Arabidopsis thaliana: one gene and its partners. The protein of the gene in region 2 interacts with the protein of the main gene of each other region in a pairwise test. Each region holds a gene or a part of one and is shown on either strand. Other genes may lie near its edges.

What was found. Proteins that work in one complex are often made in the same cells at the same time.
Region 1: the proteins of NATA1 (region 2) and NAC032 interact in a two-hybrid assay, tested with the Arabidopsis thaliana proteins (one large-scale study listed by BioGRID).
Region 3: the proteins of NATA1 (region 2) and AT2G18090 interact in a two-hybrid assay, tested with the Arabidopsis thaliana proteins (one large-scale study listed by BioGRID).

What each region holds. Positions count from the first base shown.
Region 1 is NC_003070.9:29,095,643-29,103,358, forward strand, and holds NAC032 (NAC domain containing protein 32), read left to right. Parts: upstream 1-4,196; 5' UTR 4,197-4,386; coding exon 4,387-4,555; intron 4,556-4,657; coding exon 4,658-4,932; intron 4,933-5,021; coding exon 5,022-5,339; 3' UTR 5,340-6,117; downstream 6,118-7,716. Other genes in the region: PBC2 (20S proteasome beta subunit C2), read left to right, coding at 378-383, 810-991, 1,091-1,198, 1,317-1,406, 1,726-1,810, 2,168-2,262, 2,415-2,463. UniProt on the Arabidopsis thaliana protein: Transcriptional activator that positively regulates age-dependent senescence, dark-induced leaf senescence and stress-induced senescence.
Region 2 is NC_003071.7:16,294,424-16,300,973, forward strand, and holds NATA1 (Acyl-CoA N-acyltransferases (NAT) superfamily protein), read left to right. Parts: upstream 1-3,686; 5' UTR 3,687-3,836; coding exon 3,837-4,523; 3' UTR 4,524-4,782; downstream 4,783-6,550. Other genes in the region: AT2G39020 (Acyl-CoA N-acyltransferases (NAT) superfamily protein), read left to right, coding at 969-1,679; AT2G39040 (Peroxidase superfamily protein), read right to left, coding at 5,040-5,458, 5,880-6,045, 6,205-6,399, 6,478-6,550. UniProt on the Arabidopsis thaliana protein: Acetyltransferase that converts ornithine to N5-acetylornithine, which is likely used in plant defense.
Region 3 is NC_003071.7:7,860,357-7,869,419, forward strand, and holds AT2G18090 (PHD finger family protein / SWIB complex BAF60b domain-containing protein / GYF domain-containing protein), read left to right. Parts: upstream 1-3,837; 5' UTR 3,838-4,144; coding exon 4,145-4,434; intron 4,435-4,547; coding exon 4,548-4,627; intron 4,628-4,703; coding exon 4,704-4,891; intron 4,892-5,044; coding exon 5,045-6,961; 3' UTR 6,962-7,464; downstream 7,465-9,063. Other genes in the region: AT2G18100 (transmembrane/coiled-coil protein (DUF726)), read left to right, coding at 7,573-7,793, 7,887-7,968, 8,058-8,543, 8,726-8,894, 9,006-9,063.

The DNA.
Region 1 (7,716 bases), on a different chromosome or scaffold from region 2:
GTGCACATAAGTCAGGCTCAGAATCAAATTGATGACTGATCTCATTTGAACCATATTGCTCTGACAGATCCTTGAAATCTTGTGTTCTATTTGAGTGTTATTTTGTCAATGGACAGGCCCGGTCTAAAGCACAGACAGAGGAAACCGTACATATGAAAAGTTGCATAGCAGGAGCTCCGAAAAACTCTGTGAACACCAAGTAATTACTTCCGAAGATACCAAATGTACCATGGTTTTGGGTGAAAACAAGACCGGTATGCATTGCACGACAATGCACTCAGCTAACATTGCAGCGAATAGGGGCGTGTGAACGAGTCCCTTGGTGAACCATGTACCGAACCATCACTTCTAATACCATGAGCAGGTCGCAGTGCATAATGTCGGCGACAGTGACCAAATAAGTAGAGTTTGAGGACATGCCTGCACAAAAACGTTTCCCCAACTTTTATGACCAAAGCAAAATTTATCTCGTAGTAAAAAAGTAAAAGCAGAGCAAGAAAAAATAAAGACATAAAAGTCATCTGAAAGCCCAATAATATCGAGGCCCATCAATAAGAACCAAAAAAAATAAAAAATTGTCTAGAGTTTCGTCCAAGCCATCGTCGACTTTAATAATTGTTCTTCTCTTGCTCAGATTTCTTCTCCGATAGGAAAACTCCCGAAGCTTCACTCAGTAAACCCTAATTTTCCGATGTCGGTAAGTGTTCCTTGCCGAATTCTTTTTTTCAATTTCTAACTTTTGTTTGTTCTGCGCAAAGATTGATAGTATGAATTGAACGATAAAATCGGTGGACATTGTGGTGATTCAGATCTTCGAGTACAATGGAAGTGCCGTCGTAGCTATGGTAGGGAAGAATTGCTTCGCTATAGCTAGTGATCGGAGGCTTGGTGTGCAATTACAAACCATTGCTACCGATTTTCAGAGAATATCTAAGATCCACGATCATCTCTTCATCGGACTTTCCGGTCTCGCCACCGATGTCCAGACATTGTAAGCTCTCGTATATGTTTACTCCTTTCCTCAGAGAATTTTAGGTGAATTACAAAATTTAGGGCTCCGTTTTTTTTTGTTTTGTCTTTGGTACTGAAGGTACCAGCGACTCGTATTTCGTCATAAGTTATATCAGCTTAGGGAAGAAAGAGACATGAAGCCTGAAACTTTCGCTAGTCTTGTATCGGCTATTCTTTATGAGAAAAGGTTGGTGAAATGTCTTCTTCTCTCAATTTGTTATTAGTTTCTAGTTTCCTCTTAACAATCTGATTTCTTATGATTAATGTGGCATTGCCACTACTAAGTACCAAATTCTTTATTTCAGATTTGGCCCATTCTTGTGCCAACCTGTGATTGCTGGATTGGGAGATGATAACAAACCCTTCATTTGCACTATGGATTCTATTGGAGCCAAGTATGCTCGCTTTCTTCATTACTTAAGACGTTATATCTCATTTTTCGTCTGTAATGCCATTTAATTTACTTAGTCAGTGACTGTAATCGTGAAACTTGCTAGGTCAGCTAGAAAATGATCGTGGATTGATATTTTGGTTTTAGTTGGAATCTAATTTTGGTCTTTTGTCATCCAATGCAGTGTATGCATGTCATATGAGTGAACTTATTTTACATGTGTTGAGCTGATTTAAATATGATTCTTAATATAGTTGAGATTTTACCGAACATGATAGTTGCAATGGTGAGCATGCCTTGACGCTTGTTCTCTCTAAATGCAGGGAGTTAGCTAAAGATTTTGTTGTCTCGGGAACTGCTTCAGAATCTCTATATGGTGCCTGTGAAGCCATGTTCAAACCAGATATGGTATGTGCCTTCTGAAAACTTGTTTTTGTACCGATTCACTGGATACTCAAATGTGTGTTTATCACCTGAAAATTTGGTAGGATCATTCATATGTAAGTATTCTATTGTAGAATCTTGATCTGGTAGGAATATTTGTGTGCATAGTGCTGGTGATATATGACGTAACTCCAATAATTTTCTCTGTATATTTTAATTTGGCTTAGGATTAAGATGTTTCAATATTGCGATTACTTCCCTGCCATAGTACTGCTTCGATAAAGTTTGAATTTCAAGGTCATCATTCTAAGAAGTGCATTGTAAACAGACTCGTGATGAAATGAAAAGCATATAACTAGACTTAACAAATTTGAGTTTCAGGAAGCTGAGGAACTATTCGAGACAATTTCACAAGCACTTCTCTCTTCAGTTGACCGCGATTGTCTTAGTGGGTGGGGAGGACATGTCTACGTTGTGTAAGTTTTGTTCTCCTCATCTTCTTCTTCTTCTTCTTCTTCTTTTTTTCTGTCACATCTGGCTTCTTACAGAATATACCTCATGTGCACTTATCTTCTAAGGATATGTATTATATAAGATAGTAACATTCTTTCATGGTCATGTTGTCCAGAACACCAAAGGAGGTGAAGGAGAGAATCCTGAAGGGAAGGATGGATTGATCTGATATCACATATCTGCTTTTGTCCAAGTTCGGTATACTCCTTAACCCGGTTATGTAGAAGCTCTCGTCCCATAGTAACTATGTTCCTTCTCTGAAACTGGATATTGTGGTTCGTTCTCTCGGATGTTTTATTTGCTATTGATAGAGTTCAATGAAAATGAAGAAATAGCAGTTGTTATCTTGTTCCAGTACTCGATCATTCTATGTACCTTGTTGTTTCTGTTTTAATTTCGTACCAAGTGTTCCAGATTTCTGGTTTGTCGCAGTCTTTAGTTTTCAAGGTTGGTACTGATCAGTGACACGTTTTGTTGTTTGTCTTCTTAGTGTTCATGTTCGATTCACTATGGGTGACTTTAGAAAGACGTTAACATGTCAACGAAATATTTTGGTCAACTATCAATAAACATGGTTTGGCTAACGAAATCATACAATAACTATGAAATCAATGTAATTTGGAAGGTGATCACTAGTAACTGCAAATAGAAACGAATCAAACTATTATGATGATGATCCTGATGCTGCCATCTGACATTGTGAATGATTTTGCATGTCCTGTTCTGTTTGTGGCGTTAGATCGAGCCAGAGAGGCAAAATCCATACGCATAAGCGTTTTGATGATTTCATATAAAACGTGGCATGTGCAATAGATGTGGTCGTTACACGAATATAAACCCAATCCTGCCGACCTAACTAATCTCGGTGGGTATTCATATACTACCTGTGTGGGCAAAGCATATAAAGGTTCTACTTGGGCAATCATTATCGATGCTCGTAAATTCATGCGTCTAATCATTTTGATTATGAACCATCCACATCATGTCACGTGTCTAAACTCTTCGGTCACTTTTGAGCTTTTTATCAAATTCAACCCGCCACAATAAAAAGCGGCAGAACTAACATTCCGGCTCCACGTGGCATAGATCGAAGCGTTTATCTATTAGGTGGCACAGGCGGCTCGAGATGACGTTCTTGTGGACTCCATTAGAGAAAATGACAGAATTAAGTGGGCATTAGCATAAGTTGATAACTATGAGGTGCTTTTTAAAAAGAAAACTAACAGCTGCGATTCTGTTTTTTTTTGCCGTTAGTGTACGCTAAATCATAGACCTCTTCGTGGTTATAAAGAAAGAAACTTAATTTGTCTCGAATTTGAGTTTGGATGCGACGTTTTACGTACTAGTTTTATAAAAGTAAATGTTATAGACCTTGAATTTCAAAGTGGAATGTATTTTACACACACAATTGATACACCAACAATTGTGGAAGCAAGGATATAGAGTATCGATCTTTAATGGAGAAGAATATATCCTTAAAGTAATCATTACTTTTTAATTACGGCGGAAAGAGAATAGTTAAATTTACGGCGAAAAGAATGTTCATTAATCAATTGATGACGTTCGTTTATAATTTCAAATAAGATCGAAAATAACAGGTGAACAAAGAAAAAATAGACATTAAAAATAGTAAGATCGAAAATACAACCCTTAAAAATCTCACGAAATCAATGAGAGAAACAATTTTGAGATACGGTCAACGTTTGGTCTCCTTTAGGAAAGTACACGCATAAGATCGAACGTGTCGATTCTTATTGCTCGTTCCCAAAATCGACATGCTCTCGGACCGCTACATTCCAAATAGTCTGACGTAAGCAATGACAAAACTCACCTACATTACAGTCTGCCACGTGTCCCTCTCCATCTACTTCAAATGAATCCTCCACTATACAGATTTAACCATTTTTCTATTTTTGTTTGAGATTCCTTTCCACCAACACAAAGCCCCTGTCTATCCGCCATGTGTCCACGACCTTTCTTATATATATAGTCATCTTTCTTCTTTGCTCGAGAGAAGTTTCAACTTTCAAACATATCTTTACAGTTCTTTCTTGCTAAACAACAATAAAGGGGAAAATAGGTTAATTATGATGAAATCTGGGGCTGATTTGCAATTTCCACCAGGATTTAGATTTCATCCTACGGATGAGGAGCTAGTCCTCATGTATCTCTGTCGTAAATGCGCGTCGCAGCCGATCCCTGCTCCGATTATCACCGAACTCGATTTGTACCGATATGATCCTTGGGACCTTCCCGGTACGTTTCTTTCTTTTCCCCTTTAAATCACACTATACACTAACAGTAACAGGATTCTATAAAATCGGTCTAAGAATTAATAAACCGGTTTACAATTTACAGACATGGCTTTGTACGGTGAAAAGGAGTGGTATTTTTTCTCACCAAGAGATCGAAAGTATCCAAACGGTTCAAGACCCAACCGTGCAGCTGGTACTGGATATTGGAAAGCTACCGGAGCTGATAAACCAATAGGTCGTCCTAAACCGGTTGGTATTAAGAAGGCTCTAGTGTTTTACTCGGGAAAACCTCCAAATGGAGAGAAAACCAATTGGATTATGCACGAATACCGGCTCGCTGACGTTGACCGGTCGGTTCGTAAGAAAAACAGTCTAAGAGTGAGTGAATTTATCAGTTCAAACCGAACTTTGAATATGATTTTGAATCGGTTTAGTTAACCGGACGTGTTTTTGATATTCTTGAACAGTTGGACGATTGGGTATTGTGTCGTATATATAACAAGAAAGGTGTCATCGAGAAGCGACGAAGCGATATCGAGGACGGGTTAAAGCCTGTGACTGACACGTGTCCACCGGAATCTGTGGCGAGATTGATCTCCGGCTCGGAGCAAGCGGTGTCACCGGAATTCACGTGTAGCAACGGTCGGTTGAGTAATGCCCTTGATTTTCCGTTTAATTACGTAGATGCCATCGCCGATAACGAGATTGTGTCACGGCTATTGGGCGGGAATCAGATGTGGTCGACGACGCTTGATCCACTTGTGGTTAGGCAGGGAACTTTCTGAGTTGTCACGTGCGATTAGAGTTAGTGGAAAGTGGAAACTATCACTGTCTGTTTTCGCACGTGTCGGGTAGCCGTCTTGAAACCCGCTAGCTGATCCAGAAGTGACCTCATTGGGCTTTTCAACAACAATTGGGCCTTAGCCTTTCTTCTCCCTTAGTAAGACAAGCTACTGTATTGTGTTGTTATTTTCAGGAAGCAATATAAATTCATTTTAATCACTTATATATTCTTTACATTTTTTTTTCACTCAAAACTACAATCTAGCTTCTTCTTTTTTTTTTTTTTTTTTTGTTATGGTTGTACTACAATCTAGCTTTGTTATATATATATATAAGTTAAAAATAGTAACTAAATTACAAACTAAAATAAAATAAAGAAATTGGAAGATATCACTAGTGTTTGGGGTATTAGGGAGGGAGGGGAGCTCGAGATCCGATTTTACTGACTGCATGGTATCGAAAAAGTGTCGGTAATGGTAGGGTCTGACAGATAACAGTCTTATCGTTGCAACTTGCATTCAAACAAATCTCATTGTTCGCTTTAATTTCTAATTAATTTGTTTTTGTCTTTTGTATATTTATTTGATTTTGACACGAGTTTGTCTTTCCTAATAAGACCGAGGCATGATTAGTTTAACCGGTTTGAATTGTTTAGGTTAAATCGGAGTCCAAGTCAAATACATCGCTATCTAACGAAAACGACGACTGAAATTTCGTAAAGTTCCTTACTATAAAACTGATCTAACTATCTTCTACAAGAACAATATAATAAATTTGATGCATTATGAATTCACAAGTTTTAAATCTTTATGATTTTGTAGCTCATGAAATTGAATGATGTTTCTTTTATTATCACATGTCATTAAATAAAAATAGTTATGAGTAGATGACATAAATACTATTTCAAATAAATTTATCCTCCATCTAATTGTTATGAGATGATTATTTCCTATAACATGGTATCTACTATATGGCCGTCTAAATTAAGTATCAACGTTTAAACTGCGCAATGCTCAAGTTTTCATAAGATGTGATTTGTTAGAGGTTAATTAAGAAACTTGCGAGTGTATATGTGGTCTCTAATCTATATTTTAATCTATAAAAAGGGAAGTGAAAATCAAGATTAAAAGCTTGGATGTCATAGTATAAAAGAATAGTAAAGTAAGGGGACCAGACATATTTGTTGCGAACTGGAAAAAAATGAAGACAGTCAATCTCACTGGGGAAGTGTGGGGTTTGAAGTCCATGTTAGGTCTGTTTGTTGTTGCTCTTACAACCTTCACTTTCAATTTACAACCAAATCTTCTTTACACTTTATACTAATTTATTATTCATGTTTCCAATAGCATTAAAACAGTTTTAAAATCTATCCAACTCTTTTTTTCCCCTACTAAATCAGGAAATTCAAATCATATGGACAATATACTCCATCAAACAGTGTAAATCTGTTATCCACAATGCATAATGTTGTGTTTAATTAACTCGCATTCGTCACAACCAAATTAGTGATTTCTCTCTAATTAACCAATGTATGTAGATGTGAATAATACTTATGTAATAGTCCAGTTTTCAACAAACATATCATAGTTTAACGAAATTGGACAGATTCGAGATCACAACTCGGTTAAGATAAAACTGTGAATAGAATATTTTTCTGCCTAGGTTATAACTTAAAACTATAATATTTTTGGGAGCATGTATTATGTGACTTGTGCGAGAATTCTGTGTATATATGGTTGACAAGATGGATGCTATTTTTGTAAATAGCTAGATGGCTACATACATATTCACTCATGTTTTATAACGTAGAGAATAATTAGTCCACCGCTCTATGCCCCATTTGGAATAAGGTTAATTGTTACAACATATATTTTGGTTAAATGGTTCCGAGTTAATAGACCAAATCATATAGTAGTAGTTTGGAAACAAGACATGGTCAAAACGCAAGATAATACATAGACACATAATTTCAGTTTAAAAGTTCTTAAAACTTTAAAGAACAAAACTTAGATGTAGTTTTAAATGTTAATTTACCTGGTTTTGGCATAACACAACCTAGGAGTTAGGAATGTTCCAACTTCCAATACTTTTACATTTATCAAAACATGCGTTAAATAGAGGGAAAAAATGAATCTTGAGGAACGTTTTATTTCTTCCTAATTTGTTGGCTAAAAAATGAATAAGATAAGCTCAACCAAATGGAGACCCAAACAAAGTTGACATTGAAAAAGTCTAAAATTTCAATGTTTATAAAATCTAACAATAATCCTATTCTTTAGATTGGACAACTTTATGCTAAGATAAGAGTAATTCAGAATTCTAACTAAATCACACTCACTCCATTATTATGGCCGCCGTGGAAAATTCAACAACCAAATC
Region 2 (6,550 bases):
CTCACAACTTATATGGCACCTTCCTCTATTTTCTATATTTTTTCAACCGCATAATGAACATGACACCAACAATCAGAAGTAGAAACCCAACCAATATCCACAGGTGTGAAACATAGAATTACCAGATTTAGCATCAGTCTGACACATCTTGTATGGATACTAAGAGAGAGGGTAGAGTCTAGCATGATTCTTGAGAATAGGTAGATAATCGGCAATAAATGCAACATTGTTTACACTAGTAAATTGACATATTTAGCAATAAAAATGTATATATAAATGTTAATAAAACCAATAAAAGAAATCTATTTCACATTTAATATCATGCGATTGTTGTAAGATGTGGTAGCTTAGCCGATCTTCCAAATATGCAAGATCTAGCTCATATTTTTGAGCATGTGTAGTTTAGGTTCAAAATAATATCTTAGAGAAAATAAAGTTGGTAATTAGAATATTATTAGAAATCAACTCACACACATCGTGTGGGTTTATTGGTATCATATATTATTCTACCTATTTTATTTTATTGAACAATGTGTCTTTAAAAATGAATAAGTACATAATTTTTTAGACTTATATTTTGAAATTTTGTCTATATTAATACTTACTATATATGAATTGAACTTGTTAAATATTGTATTGACTTTTGTAGTGGTAAGAAGAAACAATAAAAATCCATAAAAACAATAACTTGGTTTAGCTTTTGGTTACGTATGTAAGGGGGTTACTAAAAGTAAAAACACTGGGTTTGGGCTGGGTTCAGTAACTCTCATACAAAATCCATAAAAACTTTGGGCTGGGCTCATTCAAAATCCATACTTATTTTATTACTTTCCTAATTAAAAAAAATACACATAGCACAAGAAAAACCACCGCCCAAGCTTCTCTAGAACCTCTCCATCGTTCTCACTATCACTCCCCCCCCCCCCAAATATAAACCCTAATTTTCACAATCACAGTACCAAAAAAAAATGGCAGCCGCCGCACCGCCACCGCCACCAACAGCAGCACCGGAACCAAACATGGTAGCACCACTAATTTCACCAATCGGCCACCCAATGTTCTCCCGGATCCGTCTGGCAACACCGTCCGATGTCCCATTCATCCACAAACTAATTCACCAAATGGCAGTCTTCGAACGTCTCACGCATCTCTTCTCCGCCACCGAATCAGGTCTCGCTTCAACACTCTTCACCTCTCGTCCTTTCCAATCATTCACAGTCTTCCTCTTAGAAGTCTCTCGTTCTCCATTTCCAGCAACCATCACTTCATCACCATCTCCCGATTTCACACCGTTTTTCAAAACACATAACCTTGATCTCCCGATTGATGATCCGGAGAGTTACAATTTCTCGCCGGATATGTTGAACGACGTCGTTGTAGCTGGGTTTGTTCTGTTTTTCCCGAATTACTCTAGCTTTTTGTCCAAGCCTGGTTTTTACATTGAGGATATATTTGTGAGAGAGCCTTATAGGAGGAAAGGGTTTGGTAGCATGTTGTTGACTGCTGTGGCCAAACAAGCGGTGAAGATGGGTTATGGAAGAGTGGAATGGGTTGTTCTTGATTGGAATGTTAATGCTATCAAGTTTTATGAGCAGATGGGTGCTCAGATTCTGCAGGAGTGGAGAGTTTGTAGACTTACTGGTGATGCTCTTGAAGCTTTTGATCAGGTCAACATCTAGAGATTGATGCTGTGTTGCTGAGAGTTATCGAATCAGATCACTTCCTCTTGCTTTTAAAGTTTGTGTTTTTTTTCCTTCTTCTTGTTGTTACTTTATGCAAGTGTTGGCATTGATGATGATGATGATGATGAATTCTCTATGCTTACTTGTTGGATACTGAATGAGAAAAAAGAACCCTTTTGTTGAATGTATGAAATGTTTCGAGTTTTTAAAGTAAGAGTTATGTATTTGTGTGATTCCTCGTCATATTTGCTTGACCAAAGTATTTGTTCTGTGTTATGGATTTGAAGAATTGGTTTTGTGATCCTAGAGGACAGTGAATTGGAGAGTACAGATAAATTGGTCAAATGAAGAAATTGTGATCAAATGTAGAATGGTTAAGTTGCTTGCGAGGCACACACAAGTCTAATTGCAAACTATATAGGTTAAGCCTTCTTGCTTCAGTTACTATAGAAGACAATAAAAACTAAGTTTTAGTAGTCTCTGACTCTCTGTCTTGTTGTATAGAGAATTAAGAAACCGTGAGCATGAAACAAAAATTCATCTATTTTTATTACTACAACAAAACATTCCGCTTTTGTGTTAACATAGAGAACAAAAGACCCCATTTTACGAAAATGATTCTACTCTTATAAATGGGCTTAAGTGGGTTGTAAAATTTGTAGAAGAATGCACAAACACTTCAACATCTCTAGTTGTCCTACTGGCTTTAAAGAACATCTCTTTGATTGAGATTAATTCACTTGCAATTTATCGGTAAAACTTTAAAACTGAACCAAAAGTAAAAAAGAGTGAGACTAGTTTTTTGTTTGTTAAACATGAAACTGGACATAAAACTGGACAGATACATTCTACTAATATCATGCATTCCGTTAAGTATTTTGAACAAAAAATCTCATCTTTGGAAGAGTATATTATGAAAAATATTTGGATTTACACTCAAAATCATATTCATTTATTAACAATTAAAACTATAAAAAGACATAAGCTAAAGAATTAAAGTAGTAAAAAATTGATAGTTTTATTTCCTTTCCTTTATTATCAACAACATTGAAGTTATCGTCGTGATTACAGAATCCAAAATTGGAAAGAAATGGCAGGATACATATTTGATTTTTGTTGTCGACAAATTTGGACTAAGAGACGTAACAAATCTTGCCAGCTACATGTAGAACGCACCTGTTAATACTGTAAACAATGTCGGCTAACTATTTTGTGCTAACGACAATAAATATCAAAGTAGTACGTGTAGCGTCTAGCTTCTTCTATGAGATAAAACGACGATGGGAGTGTCATTATTTTTCACTCATTTCTTGTATTTTTCTTTGGAACCAAAATGTCTTTTTCCATGATTTAACGACATGTGCTTCACGTTTCTTCATATGTCTTTTTACCGACTTCAACAAATGGTGATGGTATTTATCGAAATTCATCAATTTCTTCCTAAATTAAATTGGTAAAAATACCAATTGTCGAACTCACTCACGAAGATTGGACTGTAAACGGTATAGATGACCGTATTTGCTTCGTGGTATGGTCGTGCGTTGTCTCAAATCGCAAAAGAGCCAAATTATGTTTAAAAAATTCAATGCCATATTAGAAACCTTAATCTTCTCTAATGAATTTGTACGACGTAATATAGAATGAGAGGTTCAAATTATTAAGAAGGAAGTTTAAAAGACTTAGAACCGTTTGCAAAGTTTTGGGAGAGATGATCGGTGACCTATACAATGAGATAATAGAGATTGAGGGATTGAAAATTGAGGGACGCAACCATTACACTGATACGTTGAGTTGATATGGTGATAATTGTTTTTATGTTCAAAAACTTACATAAGTAGATAATGTGGAGTCTCTTTGATTTCTTAACCTGAACGAAAAACCAAAAAGGAGAAGAGAGTGATCACCTAATTTAACGTGTAAAACATGACATTTTCCAAGAAGAGGGATCGATCTAAAAGTCAAAAAAAGGATGAGATAGCGTTTTAGTTTATCATATGTGGCATAGTTAGATTGGCTTGTAAAATAATTTCTAATCCTAAACATGATAGATAGCAGCCTTAGAAGCAAGTAACATCAAATTTTTATAGTATATATATATGGATTCTCGAAACCCTAATCTTCACATCACTATCTTCAAAAACAAGTAACAGAAAAATGGCGCCTCCAACCGCAGCACCAGAGCCAAACACTGTGCCAGAGACTTCACCGACCGGCCACCGTATGTTTTCCCGGATCCGCCTCGCTACGCCGACCGATGTCCCTTTCATTCACAAGCTAATCCACCAGATGGCGGTTTTTGAGCGCCTCACGCATCTCTTTGTCGCCACCGAGTCTGGTCTTGCCTCCACGCTCTTCAACTCCCGTCCGTTCCAAGCCGTCACCGTCTTCCTCTTGGAAATCTCCCCTTCCCCATTTCCCACCACTCATGACGCTTCGTCCCCTGATTTCACCCCCTTTCTTGAGACGCATAAGGTTGATCTCCCTATCGAGGATCCGGACAGAGAAAAGTTCTTGCCGGATAAGCTCAACGACGTGGTGGTGGCTGGATTCGTTCTGTTCTTCCCGAACTACCCAAGTTTTCTAGCGAAACAGGGTTTCTACATCGAGGATATCTTCATGAGAGAACCTTACAGACGAAAAGGCTTCGGAAAACTGCTACTGACCGCTGTGGCAAAGCAAGCAGTGAAGTTGGGTGTCGGAAGAGTGGAGTGGATTGTGATCGATTGGAATGTGAATGCTATCAACTTCTATGAGCAGATGGGTGCGCAGGTTTTTAAGGAATGGAGACTTTGTAGGCTCACTGGCGATGCACTTCAAGCTATTGACAAGCTAAACATCTAGCAGCATGATGATTTGCATGAGACCCATCGAGCGATCGGTCCTTTAAAGTTTGTTTCTCACTTGTTTTTAATTTGTTGAATAAAACATCTCAAGTTTAAGATAAAGATGTATTTGTGATTATGGTTACAAAAGTATCTTCTGTGTTTTCGGATTTGAATAAAATGGAGATTTCTTCAAACTATTTATAAGCCATGTTTAAAAGAAGTTTTCAAGGTGTATTTAATGTGAATAAATAAAATTTTTAAATTATTGACCTCAATTTATATAGAGACTGCACTGTTTTTTTTTTAACCGGACAGCGTTCTACTTACACATGCTAAAGTACGGGCCTTGTCAAAAAGACATAGAAGTGGTAATTAAACAGATAAATTGGAAACATACAATTCCACTTAAATATATATATGGATCATTAAAATCTTAGTATTGTAATAAAATTAAGAAAAACATATCTCAAATGATGATTACATGATAATCAAATTTATACGGTATTAAGATAAAAAAAAAAGTGAAAATTTATCAGTTGACGAGGCGACAATTTTTACGAATCTCACCACCTTGATCTCCAAGAGTAAGGACTTTGATGGAACTCATCTTTATCATGGACCGACCAAACTGAGCAAGAAAAGCGCCGGAGTTTTGGAAAACACTAGCAATGTGAGCGGCGGAGGGATCAGTCAACAAGGCGGCGTCGGAGGTGAAGAGTCCTTTGTTCTTGAGTAGAGAGACGAAGTAGCCACTGTCAAAGGCGAGAGGACCAGTAGGGTCCATTCCGACCACTGCGGAAGGGTTGAGTCTTAAAGATTTGTCGGAGCATTCGGATTTGAGGAAGGAGGCGTAACTAGGGTTTAGGGAAGGATCTGTGTCCCCTTTTCCGGTGAAGTTCAAGAGCCTTCTGCCAAACACACCGCAATGTGCTATTCCTATCGTGTGTGCTCCTATTTTTCATACAATTTCGTTTCTTTTTAATATATAATCGAAAAATTAGGTGATTAAATGAATGATTTATATGAAAATATTAGTGTATCATTCCTAAGAAGATTAATTGACTTTTGAATAATTATCACGTGCAACGCCTTTTCCAAGATTATCCTCAAATATTTGATGGTATATATACGATCGGATATTATACTTTTTCTTGAAGATTGGAGGAAATTAATTTGTAGCATCCCATACACTTCCTAACATGGACATGCACGTGGTCTGATATTCCCGCGATTTTCTTATAGTTTTATGCGTTCTTTAGTTTTATTATTTGTTCCCAATTTTCATTGGTTAGCTTTTAATTCACTTGGTTTCTTATCAGTAACGTATATGCAAATGTGATTACCAAAAAATGATATATCAAATATGGTAAACCTGATAAAGCGACGAGGTCAACGACGTCCAAATCGCTCTCGGCAAAGAGTTTCTGTAGAGTGGTGAAGTTTGCCCCAGCGGATGGTAAGTCTCTGGCCGCCTCCGTTGCCAATGAAACTCTTCCATCAACACGTCCGGTAAACACATTCCATAGCGGCCGTTCAAACTATAACACATCAAACATAGAAACTCAGGGAGTTAGAATTGATTATTGGTTTCATTTGATAAGAAAGACATCTAAAACTAACATATGCGACTAGTAAAATACTAAATTTTTGATTTCTAATCATGAAATTTTTTAGACGAGTTTGTTCATATGTATTACTTCATAAGAGACGGCATCTCGGGCGGCTAAAGTGAGAATGTCAGCGCAAGAGACGGTGTTAGGGCATCGTTTTTCGAGAATATACTTGATCTCATCGATGATTTCAAACCCGGAAAGCGAGAGATTAGGTCTCGCTTCCTTCTCGGACACTGCTTTTCCAGCAACCGAATCTAAAAGCAGCGATGCGTCGCACCCCTAAAAATCATCCACATCAGACTTATCTTTATAAGAAAGATGTTCACATAAAGAAAAAACCCTACATGCACATCATACCCTAACAAAGCAGTCATGGTAATGAACCCTCAGTAACTTGGGAGCCAGGCTACGGTTTGCTTCGACTTTCTTC
Region 3 (9,063 bases), 8.4 Mb from region 2:
AGGTGGACTGTTGAAGTATGGGGCGGAGAACAAACGTCTAAATATTTAAGGTTACAATGATAAATACTCATTCTTGTGCCTATATATATATATATATATATATATATATATATATATATTACTTCGTAATTTCGTATAATAGTTGATGATAAAATAAATTACTTCGTATAGTCATAGAGTGGGTTCTTGTCAATCCATGTCGGAGGAATAAATAAGTAATTATACTGTTGGGATCTCATTATTTTATGTTTTATTATAAAAAAGCAAGAGCGTTGAATTTAAATTCGTTCTTGTTGCACGAATGTTCGATTTCTTTTCTGATTTTCTCCCAAAAGACAAGTAATATATATGGAGAAATGATTTTCATTTGTTTGTTAATTTGTATGTTTAGAACTAAATATCGTCTCTCCGAAACGCTTGATAATCCAAACCACTCCAAACAAAAAAAACTTTTGGGAAAAGAAACAGGCAATAGGTGCTAAGATGAGGAAGCATAACCACAAACAAAGACTGCAATTCCTAAATTATATCGACAACAAAATAATTGCCAATGCTCAAGGTATTGCATGGATCTTCCTCCCCGTTGTTAGCTTTCTCTGCTCTTGTTGCGGAGTTGGTAATCTTTTGGGTTGCAATGGATACAGTCTCTTCTGAAGTCGTTTGGATCGTCATGTTTCGATCTCGTTTGTTTTCTTTGGTAAAGTTGTGTCTTGCATTTATGTATTTTTTTTGGAGTATTTCTAGGTTTTCTTGTCTTGTTATCTTGTACAGTAAAACCTCTATAAATTAATAATGTCGGGACCGAGAAAATTTATTAATTTAAAGAAGTATTAATTTATGCAGAGATTTTACAAATTTTGTAATTTTTTACAAAAATGTGATCTAAAAGGTAGTTTTTCTATACAATCAATAATTTTTCTAAAAATTATTACGAGTAGAAAACCATTATTAGATTTAAAAACAAAAAAAAACTTTTTTATACGTAGTAAAATTATTAGAATTTAATTTTACAAAGAACTAATATAAATTAAAATAAAACAATACGAAAGTCATATTTTACTAAGCTTTACATAATATATATTCATAAATATAAATATATATATTCATAAATTTATACAGTTATTAATTTAAAATATTGATGGGACCATATATTTACATAGAATTTTCAAAAATTTTATTATCTTATTAATTTATCGATTTGTATCAATTTTTACACTAGTCCCAACTCGGAACCAGAAAAATTTATTAATTTATAGAAGTTATTAATTTATCGAATATTAATTTATAGAGGTTATACTGTATTTCTCTTTTATTTGGGTTGTATTTCTTCTTTTTTTACTGAGTTTGAGATTTAATTTTAATAAAAATTATCAGTTTGATAAAAAAAAACTAAAAATATAATTTTCTTTATAAACTAATAAAATTAAGTTTCTCATTCTAGCTAAAAGGCTTAGCTTAATATTATTATGAATATTATTCATCTTTCCTCTTTCAAAAAACATATTTTTCATCTTGATTATCATCGGTTGCAACCAAAACGAAAGGCTAAGTTTCATATTCATTTTACTCCCAAACCAAAACAAATAGAGGTAAATAAATTTTTCGTATTTCGTACTGGAGCTTTAATGTTAATTTTACCATTTGTTTTCACCCAAAAAAAACCACCTGAATTTCTTGAACAAATTCACAAGGAAATTAAATTTGTTTTCTGGGTTTTAATTTGTAACAAAATATCACCTGGTTTTATTAAACTAGTTCCATTAGTTAAAATTAAAAATTGCCGGTATTGTTTTGTTAAATATTTTATTTTGATAAAATCCTCTGATCTCTATCATTCGAAGTCAAAGCTGTTTTGTTCACGTAAAACTGCATGTGTGATCCTATATATTGTATATTGATAAATACGTTTAACAATGACAATCTAGTGAGATAGCTCATGTCACATCGACCTATGATCAATGGATTACTTCAGTTTGATAATATGTTTGTATGTGATCACGAATTATATATTATATACCAATCGATTTTTCATTGTTTTATGTACTATAATTTGATTTCAGCTCACTACATATAATATTTAAACGTGACATGTTCATCTTTTTTCGTCGTCGATCGACATATCAACTATAAGATTAGTCGGTTGTACGTATAAATCTTGACCTTTTACCATGGATTTGTCCTATAAAAGCTTACTAGAGACTAGAGACCAGAACGCATTAATATTATTAGGTCTATCTTCTATCACTTCATAGTGTTTCTTTAACACTCATGTTTTGCAAGTGTCGTTTTGTACTATTGGAAAAGATTATTGTTATAAAAAAAAAAATGAAACAAAACTCTAAAAAATCAGTTAATCTTAGTTATAAAACATTATCCTGCTAGAAATCATTGCAACTTTAATAAAGTATTGAGTCTTGAATCGTTATGTCCACTTCGTTTATTTTATATAAAAGTTTGTCAACTAATTAATAGCTGATTTTTTTTTTCTTTTAAGAGAAAGAAGATCTCGAAATGAGAATTAAAGATAAGATATATGGTTAGGTAGCGAGTAGAAGACCAAAGCAAGAAACTACGACCACGACATCTTGCACATAAGAAAAAAAAAAAGTAGTTCAATTTCATTTTCGCTTTGGTCCACTTTATTATTTAACAAAAAATAATATCTAATAAATTACATTAATATAACAGTCCGTGTTAGACTAAGACACGAAGCCTCCCCCACTAAATCGACGCAAATAAAAATAAACAAATGGTGGGGTTAAGAGTTTAATTCGAGCTGTGGAATTTTTTTATAAATATACAAAAATAATAATATTTAAAATAATATATATTACGATAACAAATTTTTATGTCAATCAATTATATTTTAAGAATCTTCTAAAATCAAATATTATTGAACTAATAATTTGAATAATAATTTTAATTCCACTATTATTGAAAATATTCATATCATTAGTTTTTAAGGGTGTATAGTGAAAAAATTCCTCAATTTCAAATATGTTAATACAAATTTCCCTTTTTAAAAATTATCATGAAATTGGACAAACTATATTTATATTGAAAAAGATATATAAACTTATACAACACAAATTGTAAACAAAAATAACATGATGTTCTTCAATAAAATTATAAATCATCAAACCTAAACTCTAAAATTGTCAAAGTAAAAAACCTAAATTGACGAATTCTAATTTATTATAGCGAAATTCTCTGATGTTTGTATGATGTCGAAGTTGATTATGAGAGATTTTGTAAAATTTTGTGTTTTAATTTTAACCATAGTTTATCTAATTTTTACGACAATGTAGAAAGACAGGATTAAGATATTTGAAAAATTGAAGTTTTTTTTTATAAAATATATAATTGAATAATTTCTTATAGAATTTTAGAAAAAAATTTTAGATAAAATTAAAAAACACAAATGTAATTCTTTTATGTAGAATTTGGGGAACCAGACTACAACAAATCATAAATTTCTCTAAATTTACCTAAAATCATATTAAAAATTAATAAATCATTATGAATCTTAAATTACTTAAAATATAAATTTGAAAATACTCCTCTAACTCAGAGATCAATTTTTTCTAATGCCTCGTGATTTTTTTGCATCTTGTAGCTTAGTCACCTATATATATTTTTAGTGGTAACAAGATTCTCTGTTAAAAAAATAATAAAAATTAAAAATAATAATAGTTTATTTTATGGGAAAAGACGCGAGTGGCTCCCACCAGCCTCAACTTTGCCCACGTGGAACCAGCCATATGCGCGGCGTTTAGACAACAAAAAAAAAGCGTGTTGTTTCTTTCTCTCTCTAGAAAGTCAAAAAAAGGAGACAGACAACCAAACACTGCCTTGTCACATCTCTCTCTCTCTTGCTTTTGGCGAGTAACGAGTAAGTCCATTTTCCATGTGCCCACTGTGTCTTCTCTCCTTACACGCCACCATCTCCTCCACCTCCTCCTCCCTCCCTTCTCCAATTCCCAATTCTCCTCCAAACCCTAGGGTTAGGGTTTCCACGATTGCTTCACCTTCCCTTCTTTTTTTAAAACCTCAGATCTTCCGCTTCCTCGTTCTTGTCTTTTTGTTGAGCTGAGAAGCAAAAAAAAAGTGTTCTTTGGCTTCACGAGGAGCCAACAACGAATCGATGCCGGAAATCGATCTTATGAGAGTCGATCATTGTGTTTCCGATGTTAAATTAGATGATTCTTCTTCTTCTCCTCCGGGATTCTTCGATGGTGGTGGTGTTCCGTTAGATTCGGATGTGAAGTTAGACGAAGAAGATTCCGATTCTTTGAAGAAGAGAGGTAGACGTGGTCGTCCGCCGAGAATTTTAGCTAAAGCTTCTTCGCCTCCGATTTCGAGGAAGAGAAGAGAAGATGAAGATGTTTGCTTTGTTTGCTTCGATGGTGGTAGTCTTGTTCTCTGCGATCGTAGGTTAGTGAAGTTTTGAGCTTAGACAAGTTACTCTCCCAGCTCCATTACATTCCTACTTGTAAAAATAGAAACTTTTACTTGTGACTGATGATGATTCTTTCTTAATTTGTCAGGGGATGTCCAAAGGCTTATCACCCAGCTTGTGTTAAGCGTACTGAAGCATTCTTCAGATCGAGATCTAAATGGAATTGTGGTAAGTTGTTCAATTTTTATCTGTTTTCTCTTCTTTGAGATGGTTCATAGTGATGAGGATGGTTTTTTGGTTTCAGGTTGGCACATATGTACTACTTGTCAAAAGGATTCGTTCTACATGTGTTATACTTGTCCGTATTCAGTTTGTAAGAGGTGTGTTAGAAGCTCAGAGTATGTAGTTGTAAGGGAGAACAAAGGATTCTGTGGAATTTGTATGAAGACTATAATGCTTATTGAGAATGCAGCTGAAGCTAACAAAGAAAAGGTATGAGAATCCTGTCTACATTTTGTTACTTTCTCTTACTCGCAGTACTACAAGGTTATTTGTGGAACTTGAGGTCTGTTCTTGTAATGTCGCTTTGTTTTTTTAATGTGGATTCTTTCTTCTAGCTAAATGTATTACATGTACATTTTCTAGGTTCAGGTTGATTTTGATGATCAAGGCAGCTGGGAGTATCTTTTTAAGATTTACTGGGTTTCTCTTAAAGAAAAGCTAGGTTTATCGTTAGATGATCTTACCAAAGCAAAAAATCCATGGAAATCTTCTTCTTCTACTGCCGCTAAGCGAAGAACTACTAGTCGGGTTCATGAAAAGGATGATGGAAATTCTCCTGGGGTTATGAAAATACGTCGTGCTAAAGTAAGGAAAATGGATGCTGTTTCTGTGAGTAATTTGGGTCCTTCTTTGGATTCAAACTGTTCTTTGGGTGACAGACTTCCACAATTGACTAGTGCTGCTACTTGGGCAACCAATGAGCTTTTGGACTTTGTGGGGTATATGAAAAACGGTGATATTTCTGTCTTATCAAAGTATGATGTCCAAACTCTCGTGCTAGAGTATGTGAGACGGAATAATCTACAAAACTCTCCTCAGAATTCTGAAATAATGTGTGACTCCAAGCTTATGAGATTGTTTGGAAAGGAGCGAGTGGACAACTTGGAAATGTTAAAGCTTCTTGATTCTCACTTCATCGATCAAGTTAGGTCTCCAGTCACAGATAATTCAGCCGGAGGAGTCACTGAAACTATGTCTTACCAGGTTAATGCGGGCAGAAGCTGTGATAGGTTAAATACATCTGAACAGCATCAAGAAGGGGAATCACAGCAATTGAACGGGCACAGTATTCAAGTTAGACCTTCCAGTTCTGATAGCAGAAACCATGCAGTTGTAAAACCTGACACAAGTGCCACTCTGTCCAATAAGCCAATTGATGGTTTGGATACAAATATGGTATGGTTATATGGAGATCCAGATGGGAAGATTCATGGACCATTTTCGTTATATAACCTGCGACAATGGAATTCAAGCGGGCATTTCCCACCAGAGCTGAGAATATGGAGGTTGGGTGAACAGCAACACAGCTCCATACTTTTGACTGACGCATTAAATGGGCAGTTCCATAAAACAGGGTTATTACAGAATCATTCTATCCCCAAGCAGGAAGTGACAGCTACTATAGCTAACGATCAAAACAGGTCTGTGGCTGTTCCTAAAATAGAGAGTAGAATACTTGACTTCAGCCCCAACTCAGTGTGCACTGACCAGAGTGTTATTTCTAGCAGTAACAGTGTCATCACAAGGAGCTCGGATGTGAGTAACAAAAGCGGAAACAATTGTAGCCACGCCGTGCCATTGGATTTTTCTCTTTCTAATGAAAGGGATACTGTGGGTTTTATCTCTCTCTGGGACAAAAGAAAAGTTGAAAGTTCTTTGCTTGTACAAAGCCCAATAAGCTGTTCACTCTCGCTGGCTACATTACCTAGAAACTCAAACTGCTCTCTGCCACCACATGAAAGATGGAGTGCTGGTCAGACAGATGGAAACAGTGCAGCAACGACTGCTTGCAATCAAAACGGTAGTCTTAGCGGCTCAGCTGAGAAACAAGTCACGGCTACAGTCCAGTCATGTGGACAGAACTGGAATGCTGCAACTCCAAGCAGTGCTTCAAATGTGTGGGATTCGAACTCGGGTTTGACGTCTTTCCCAGACAATCAAGAAATAGACTTTTTAGATCTCTTTAGTCCAACTTTCAAATTCAACTTTGCATCTACTACCACTGATTGGCAACCCATTGTGGCTGGACCTGACGAATGCGACGAATCAGTCTCAGATCTTTTGGCAGAAGTGGAAGCCATGGAGTCCCAAAAACGTCTTCCTTCTCCAACTTCGACATTCCGTGGTCCTGAAGAATTATTAATCCGGCACTCAATAAACGATAGCTTCAGTCCCGCAGAAGGACATAGCCCAGCACTAGATGTAAGCAAAGGTGACTCCATGAGCTCCACAAACGATCTTCAAATGCATTCACGATCTAACAGCACCGTGCATTTTTAGTCGTGGGCTCGGGTTCACATAGAGAGAAATCATAACCTGGGGCACAGGTTACCATAGATCATCCAATGTCCTAGATTCGTCTGATCGATGGTGGACTATGCCCTCTTTCTTCTCTTTTTTTTTGCAGGATTATTACAGAACATAAATAAATGGCAGAATCATCAGCAAAAATGAAAAAAAACGAGTGGTGCATATGTAGAAGATGTTTCTTCGCGGTATTTTTGACTGCACCCATTGTTTTCTTCAGTATTTAGGTTTTGTAACGTTGTCCTGTGTTAAGATTTGCACAGACATACCCAACTTCTGTATCTTTTTTTTTTACATTGTTTGTACTTAGGAACAAGTATAAAAATGGGAAGAAATTGTTGTCCATGGATGTAATCAAAACATTTGTAGGGATCATATCATCTTATTATTCTATATATATGATAATGATAGTGTAACGTTTCATTCTTTTTGTTTTGAATGTTTCAAATCTATTTATATCATGACAAGTGTAGGCTCCAGTTTATTCTACTTGTTTTTGGAAAATGAGACGAACTCTATTGATCGTTTCTGGATTTGGAAACTTTTTGTTGTTTCTTCGATTTCGTTTTTGTTGATCTGAGTTGATGGTGGAAGCTACGTCAAATTTGACGCCGTCGCAGAGATACGCGGCAAGCGCTTTGTTTGCAATCGCGCTTAACCAAGCGCAGATCAGCCAGTCAAAGCCATTGGGAATCCCGGCCACCGGAAGTACCGGAGAGCCAATCAGCAGCGACAGTGATCCTATCTCCGATGAGGCGGATCTCTGGGTCCACGAAGTTTCCGGCCTCCTCCGTCCTGTTCTCAGGTGATCTTGAAATCATCTGGAATAGTCATGTTCATATGCGTCTCTGTGTGTGTAATGTATACATTTTGAGCTGTCTCTGTAATTTGCTTTCAGATGTCTTCAGATTGATTCATCAGCTTGGCATGGCCTTGAAGAGATAGCTGCTTCTACTCAGGCTAAGGATCACATCGGTGCGGTATGATTAATTTCTCTCCGTATTTTGAAATTTCGTTGTGAATGTTGAGGAGCTCTTCTTTATTGGATGTTACTTTTGGTTTATTGTAGTTTATCAAGTTACTCTCAGAGGATGTGAGTGATGATGATGATGATTCTAGTGAAATGGTGGAGAAAGAGACCGCCTTAGCTAAAGCTGCTGATGCTATGGATCAAAACATTCGAAGCAGCTCTCTATCTGTGGAATCTAAGATGGAGAAACATGTGGAATTCGAAAACGAATGCCGCGACAAGTATTCTGTTCCCGAGGCACAGTCTGGTGCTGAGGTTAAGGAAACGGAGAGCCACGGGGAGGGTGAAATTAGAGATGGAGGCCACAATCTTGGGATTGTTGAACATGAGAAACCTGTTGGGGAAGTAGCATTGCTTAGCCATGAGAGAAAGATAAATGTTCTTTACGAGCTACTATCTGCTTGCTTGGCAGATAAACATGAGGAGAATGAGATATGTACACGGCGTAGGAAAGGCTATGATGCGCGTCACCATGTTGCTCTGCGGTTACTTGCTACTTGGTTTGACTTTCAGTGGATTAAAATGGTCTGTTTGCTTCATTCATTCAAATTATTTTGTAAATTTTATGCTACCACATAGCATAGCAACCCTATAGTTACATGTTAGCTATCTTGTTGAGGATTTAGGATCTGATGACATTGGGATATTTAGGATTCTCTGTTTTGTGCATTTGGATTGACCTGAGAATCAATTTCTGTATTTTCTAGGAAGCAGTTGAGACAATGTCTGCATGCTCTGCCATGGCATTGCAAAAGTCAAGTGGAAATAAGGAAGAAGAGTCTTTGTCACCAAATAGTGAATGGGCTAAGTGGAAACGTGGAGGCATAGTTGGAGCGGCTGCTTTAACAGGGGGTACATTGATGGCCATCACTGGTGGTATGATGTCTTCTAACTGTTAATATCTCTTCCAACGTTTAGAAAATTAAGAGTATGTGTTTGGAAAATGCTAATTCTTAATCTGTTTTGATTACATATTATGTGAAACAGGATTGGCTGCTCCAGCAATAGCTGCAGGGTTCGGTGCATTGGCTCCAACTCTAGGCAC